2 linked regions of the Macaca mulatta genome follow. The protein of the gene in region 1 purifies or fractionates together with the protein of each later gene. This does not show direct contact. Links are inferred from orthologs where the notes say so. Each region holds a gene or a part of one and is shown on either strand. Other genes may lie near its edges.

Region 1 (3,653 bases):
TTCAGGATTGATTTAAGGATAGTAATTTGTTGATAGACTTGTTAAATTATAGGACGTCTGTGCAATGGAGTACTATGAAACTATGAAAATTGGTGCTGTAGAAGTATGTCCATTGCCTCGAAAAGATATTCACCATATATTAAACCAGAAACATATATAGCATATCTCATTTTTCTTCTACTTTGAAGAAATGTATGCTAATTATCAATTTTTAACTTTTTTATGAAGTTAAAAAAATGTGTTTGTTTCTCTCTTTCTCACTCCTATCTCAAACCCCCACTTCCTAAGGGGGAGGTATGATTAATAGTTTGGTAAGTATTTTTCCAATTATTTTCTTGTGCACATATAAACAAAAGTAGATACATGCAATGTAAATTTTATTTTATCAAAGTAATATATGCAAGTAGTTTTAAAAGCTTTATAACAAAGAATAGCATCATAGTGTGTTCTACTTTAGCCTTCTCTTTTGCTTTTCTTCTCAGATCTTTTCTACTTAAAATATTTGATTACAAAGTACCTATATTATTTTTTAAGTTCTTCTATTTTTTAAATCTATGTAACTTTTATGTGAAATGAGAGATGTAAATTATATCTGTGGAAGAAGAACACCATACTTCAATACAGCTTTTAGTCCTTTGTTTCCTGAAGTACCAAAACAAAATTCTTAGGTTTCAAAACTTTTCCCATTGCACCACATTACTTTAGTCCATATCATTCTGTGCATTTGTTTGGTTCATATAATGTTTATTAAGGCCAGGCCTGTGATGGTTCATGCCTGTAATCCCAGCCCTTCGGGAGGCTGAGGTGGGAGGACGACTTGAGGCCAGGAGTTCAAGACCAGCTTGGACAACGTGGGGAGACCCCCACCTCTACAAAAACTACAAAAATTAGCTGGGCATGGTGGCATATGTCTGTGGTCCCAGTCGCTCTAGAGTCTTAGGTGGGAGAAGTCAAGGCTGCAGTGACCCATGATTGCACCACTGCATTCCAGCCTTAGCAACAGAGCACAATCCTGTCTCAAAAAAAAAAAAAAAAAGTTTATTAAAGGCATTAAGAATGCTTATTCAGCCTATTAAGAAAGGGAAAGGTTATTAATTATCAGTCATACTTAATTCTTCATTTTATGAATTAATCATGTCCTTTGGGTTTATTTTCTTTTCCCATCTTACTGTCATTGAACTCTTGTACCACATAGAATCGTTTTGACCAAAAAGTTGAACATGGAGAACTCTTGCTGTTCTCAGTTCTTCCTCATTTCTGGTGGGGAAGATTTTGAAACTAATGTTGCAACAGAGATTAGGGGATTATTATTGCCTTAGATTACCCCTCCAGGACATTTAAGTTTTGTACTGTTTCAATTTAAGAAAACTTAAAATTGCTAGTTCTTTCAACTTCTTAATTTTTGATCCGTGTAAAAACTTTTTCATCTTTGTTCTGTCTAGTAACTCCTCTTGCCAAGCAAATACATAAAATTAGATGCTTCCCAACAAACGTTTATTACCAGACATGATAAATTATTCATAGTTGGAGATAATTTTATTAAACTCCGATGCTTTTATATCACTATCCATCTAACAACAACAGTCTTCTCCCCTGAAGTATTTGTACATTGGTAGTGGGTGGGTTAAGATGGGGATCAGGTGTTGGGGAGGTGACTACAAACCAAGGCAGAAAAGGGATGTGATAAAATATAAATGTGGGGATAGAAAGGATTGCCTCCTACTTGGAAACCCATGAGATTTCTTAAGGTGAAATGGTGGGATGTCTTTAACATCCTCATAAAAATATAGCACTGTGACTCTTCAAGCTGTGCTCCTAAAGAGGAAGATGGTGCTCCTAAAGAGGAAGAAGTGTCAGACCTGATTAGTGTATTTATGTCACTAATAACTACAGTTGTAAAAAATCAACAAGACTTATTTAGTGAAACGATGGGATCGGAATCGGTTAAGAGAACAAAATGATCTAGACCGAGCAACTTTTTAGAACAATCTGTCCAGTAGAACTTTCTGCAATGATGGAAATGTTCTGTAGCTATACTGTTCAGTATGGTAGCCACCAGCGATACATGTGGCTGTTGAGGACTTGAAATGTGGCAAGTGTGACTAAGGAACTGATTTTTAAATTTAACTAACTTAAATTTAAATGGCTACATGTGGCTTTTGGTTACCATATTAGATAGTACACTTCTAGAATATGCATTTCCCTGCTTCTTAATCACTCCTCTTCACAAGTAAGACATAATCACTATTCTGAAAGACCATGTGGCCTGTGGAAAAGACAGATAAATACTTAACCTTAAGATCAAGAACATAAAAGAAGCAAAATAGGAAATAAGATATGTCCAGCTGAAAAGAACAGAATCTAGATGAAAATTAGTATGAGTCAAATAATAAGATTGGACCTTCCATGGGTGATATCTCTTTTAAATTTGCTCTTGGGGAATGTTCCATTTCTTCACAACAGAAGATGCAAAGTAAGCAGTCTCCTGGTACTGTCCCAGAATTTTCCTAGATGTCTGCCATGTGTAAGCCTTTTTACTACTTACTTCATTGAAAAAAGCTATAATCTCCACCCCAGCTCCATGAAACCTTTTCTTATTTTTATAAGTTAATCTGGCATTTTCTACACTCAGAGAATTAATAACCACATAATTTGGCATCTACTTATTATTAGTTTCTTTTTTAATAAATTAGAAACTTGAAAATGGGCATTATGATTTCAATCTCTTAAACGATTACAATATTACAGAAAAGTACTCATATTCTTTTTTTTTTTTTTGTCCCCTCAGATTCCTTTTTACCATGATATTCTTATTCACTTGCTTATTCATTATATAGGATGTTTCTGGTTTTTTCCCCCCAGTAGCAGATATTCTAGATTTTTCAAGTTTTCCTTTCTATATGAAAAGCCATTTTCGTGTAGAAAGTATTTCATCAAGTTTAAATAATGAAACCAATTTCTTTAATTGCTTTGATACTTCTTTATATGTTTTTATGTTCACAAATTAAATTTTTGCTAAGTCACTTTTATTTAATGAAAATTAGTGATTTTATTCAGTATTTCATTAAAATACTAGGTAATTTGTGCTGTAATTAAAAAATATATATTAGTATGGTTTTTGGAAAAAGTAATTTATATATCAATAAGAGGTAATAAGATGATAGGTTGGCATTTCAACTTTTAGAATAACATGATTTTGTAATAATTTATGTCTTCTAAATATATATTTTTAATAATTTAAATAATATTTTCTTCTCTCTAGATTTTTGCTTCAGTGTCTTGAGGATCTTGATGCCAATCTACGAAAATTAAACTCCCGTCTGTTTGTGATTCGTGGACAACCAGCAGATGTGTTTCCCAGGCTTTTCAAGGTAATTTGAAAAATATTTGCATAAAACAATATTTTCTCAGAGAATATTACATATTTGGTAAATAAGGTTTTTTGGCTAATTTAAGGTGTAGAGAATATAAGTATTTTCAGGTAAAATTTTTGTGGGTTTTTTTTTCTTTAATGAAAAAGCTACACGTGGTAAAAATCAGACGGTGGGAAAATAGTTTACAATGAAAAGTTCAATCTTTCTTCTACCTTAAACTGCTAGTTCCCCTCCCAGAAGCAACAACTACTACCAGTTTCTTATGTATCCAATTCCAGT
Region 2 (3,653 bases), on another chromosome or scaffold:
GTGTGAGGCTTGTCATGTTTTGTTTGGGTAATGAATAAGGAAATATGGGCATGTTTACTGAATCTTTAAACACCAGATTTTGTGGTGATAAATAACTTATTGAAAAAAAACAATGCATGAATACTTGATTTACCTGGATGTAGCAATTGCTGAACAGTCCAGGCTAAACCTAGGCAAAACAATAGTTCTTAACCCAGAGCTTCTGGCCATAACTAAAATCTTGTCTTCCCTTGAAGAAGGTGATTTCCTCTTAGATGGAGATTACCTGCTTATTCTCCCATGTGTGTCCAAGGAGGAGGAGAGAATTGGTGATGGGAATGGTTGGATATGTTTTCACCTTTTTTCCCAGAAAAACGCACAAAGGCACTTAGGCCACTGATTGCCAGGTTTTACAAATAAAAATGTAAGATGAGTATTTAAATTTGAATTTCAGATAATCAATAATTTTTAGTATAGTTACATCCCGTTTAATGTTTGGGACATCTTTAATACTAAAAAAAATCTGCTGTTTACCTGAAATTTAATTGGATGTCTAGTATATTATCTTGCGATCCTACCTGGGGGTAAGGGTAGGGGGATCAAACAAAAATTCAGGACTCATCCCCATACCCCCAGGGGAGAAGGCTGAAGAGGTTTCTGTTTGGTTTTAGTTATCTTTGAGTTGTCTAAGAGTGTTCTAATGGTAAATCACATACAAAGATGCGTATAATACATTCCTCTGATAGGTCTTAAAGTCCAGTTCCACCTAGTAGATTTGTTGGGTCATTTTTATTCTTTTACAGCCCTGTGATATAATTCAGGTGTATCTAGTATAACCCTCATAAAATCATTTGTGCAAAAGTTTAACATTTTTATTAGGGTTTTTTTTTGTTTTTTCTCCTGAGGAAATAATTTCTGATTTACAAAAAAGAGTCACATCACAGGATTCTTCTGGGCTCTCCTGATAGTCTTCACCAATTGTAGACCAAGGAGGCTTATAGTTAGAATATTTAGTCTAGAAGAGAGGTTCTCTAACTTTATGTGCATCAAAATCACCTGGAGGGCTTGACCCCCCCCGCCCCCCCCAACAGTTTCTGATTCAGATGGTCTGGGTTAGATATCAACATTTGTTCCCATTCAAGTTCCCAGGTGATGTTGATTCTGCTGGTCCAGGGACCACGTATTATCTATAAGTAGCTCTGAAACTAATATAATTAGCACATTAGTTTTACCATCCACTCAACATTTTTGGGATAAAGTACTGTATCTGAATCTGGAAATTAATAATATCCTTTTAACTATTGTTTTAAGGTGCTTCCCAGGAAACAACTAACTTTTTGATGGATGAACTCCTTTTTACATCCTTGAGGGATTTTTTGGCCCTATTATCCTTCCCTTAGGAAATGTCTTTGCAGAAGTATGTGTGAGAATAGCTATCTCTTATTTAGTTTAGATTTTCATGCCTGACTGGTCCAGTACACTCATTTTACTTCACATTCATCTTTCCATTGATAACATTAATGATGAATCCCAGGTTGTGATACACATGTACATTTTGAGTAAATACTCAGTTTCTAGTGCATACCATAGAGCCTGTATTTACATCTATTATGTGATCCACTACCAAATATATAATTATTTTTTAAAGACTATAAATTGATTTACTCCATTAGTTTATATAGTCACTTTGGAATAAATCAGTGTAAAAGCCAACATTAAATATGTCTCTTATAATGAAAGCTAGGTCTTGTCTTGACAATTGCCCTTCTACTTTTTCAGAGAGACTCAGAAAAGGTTAAAGTTGGAGGTGAGGGTGGAGGGTGGATGATTGAAAGAATGTTCTTTAAGTTATAATGCAATAAACTAGTAATGATACTTCTATGAAATGAATATGTGTACAGAGAAATATAAATATATACATGAGTAATCTTGAAGTCTGGGTATTTGGGGAAAAAAGTAAAAAGACAATATAATGTACATGAGTAATGGTGTTTCTTAGGTGGACAGCAGCAAGGAATCAGCTGAAGCAGCTTGTGATATACTATCGCAACTTGTGAATTGCTCTTTAAAAACACTTGGACTTATTTCAACTGCTCGACCAAGCTTTATGGATTTACCAAAGGTATCTGGTCTTCTTGTTTTATTTTCTATTACTGAGAAATCCGGTGAAAGTCTAACCTTTTTTTTTTTTTGTATTGACAGTGTGAGTATAAGGAAAGTAATATATATACATAATGGAAAATCAGTTACTATTTACAATGAAAAGAAATAGTATTTTTTAAGCTTTTTTTTTTAAATCACCGTACTTCTAAATTGGTATGGTTAAAGAAATTTAGACAGGCGTCTATAGGAAGTACTCAAAGAAATTCAGTAAGTAAAACAGAGTCAACCATATTAGAAAAAAAGGGACACATAGATACTCATTTTGGGGCTTCCAGAGCAGATTGGTGAAGTTAGAATCAAAAGTAGAGAGTGCCAGTATTGAGAGCAGGTCTAACTTATAAAATCTTTTGGCAAATGTTCTGTAAAGATTTAATCTTGACCAAGGTTAGTATCAGCACAGTTTAGATTAATTTACAGACTTAAAGACATCCTTTATTTGGGGGAAAAGTTAACATATATTCATATATATATTCTAACGTGATCCTGCACATAATCAGAGATCGTGTCTCTCTCACAACTATTCTCTTAAAATACAAAAATAATAAGGGTACATTTTTAGAAAGGTGGTAAAGGTGTCTGAGTATGTTAGCTAATGGTTAGTAGGTTAGTCTCCAACAATAATTGATAAGTTTTTTCCCCAGAAGACACTGAAAACTAAAATACGGACATCCTTTTAGGTACCTGGTAACATACTGGGATGATTGAGGAGGGAATATAACTGAATTGAATATATAACCCAAGTGGTGGTTTCAGTAGAATGTCTGTACCAAATAAATCACCAGTTGATGTCAAAGTCTTAATTGATTTTGAAATATTTTCATTACATATGTATATTTTGAGATAAAATGTTTTTCTTCATGTATAAAATAAGGGAAATGGGCAGGAGAATCTAATTTTTTTTTTTTTTTTGAGACGGAGTCTTGCTCTGTTGCCTAGGCTGGAGTGCGGTGGCCAGATCTCAGCTCACTGCAAGCTCCGCCTCCCGGGTTTATGCCATTCTCCTGCCTCAGCCTCCTGAGTAGCTGGGACTACAGATGCCCGCCACCTCGCCCGGCTGGTTTTTTGTATTTTTTTAGTAGAGACGGGGTTCCACCGTGTTAGCCAGGATGGTCTCGATCTCCTGACCTCGTGATCCGCCCGTCTTGGCCTCCCAAAGTGCTGGGATTACAGGCTTGAGCCACCGCGCCTGGCCCTAATTATCTTAATATTTTAAGATCCTAAGTACAGAAGTTAGATCAGCATGGTACTCCGACTTAATGTGTAAAAATCTTCTGAATAGCCTCCTAAATTTTGGATTTGTATCCCTTTTTCAAATTCGGGGTGATTCTAAGTCTCCTCTTCCTGTGAGCAGTCCAGGTGATTCTGATTAAGATGGTTAAGGAAACTCACTCTAAGAAATACGGGTTACATGGTATAGCGCCACCTTCAAGCTTCAAATGGGAAATGAAACAATCTGAATTGATTTTTAGTGTACCTACCATAGCTAAAATACAAATGTACCTACTGACTCA

What was found. Proteins that work in one complex are often made in the same cells at the same time.
Region 2: the proteins of CRY1 (region 1) and FBXL3 purify together in Homo sapiens (affinity purification with mass spectrometry; 4 studies listed by BioGRID and IntAct, counting the BioPlex papers as one, with this or other methods). This does not show direct contact. The link is inferred for Macaca mulatta from reciprocal best matches to the Homo sapiens genes CRY1 and FBXL3.

The regions. Positions count from the first base shown.
Region 1 is NC_133416.1:114,223,631-114,227,283, reverse strand, and holds part of CRY1 (cryptochrome-1), read left to right. Parts: intron 1-3,262; coding exon 3,263-3,371; intron 3,372-3,653.
Region 2 is NC_133422.1:71,811,630-71,815,282, reverse strand, and holds part of FBXL3 (F-box/LRR-repeat protein 3), read left to right. Parts: intron 1-1,978; coding exon 1,979-2,101; intron 2,102-3,653. UniProt on the Homo sapiens protein: Substrate-recognition component of the SCF(FBXL3) E3 ubiquitin ligase complex involved in circadian rhythm function. Plays a key role in the maintenance of both the speed and the robustness of the circadian clock oscillation.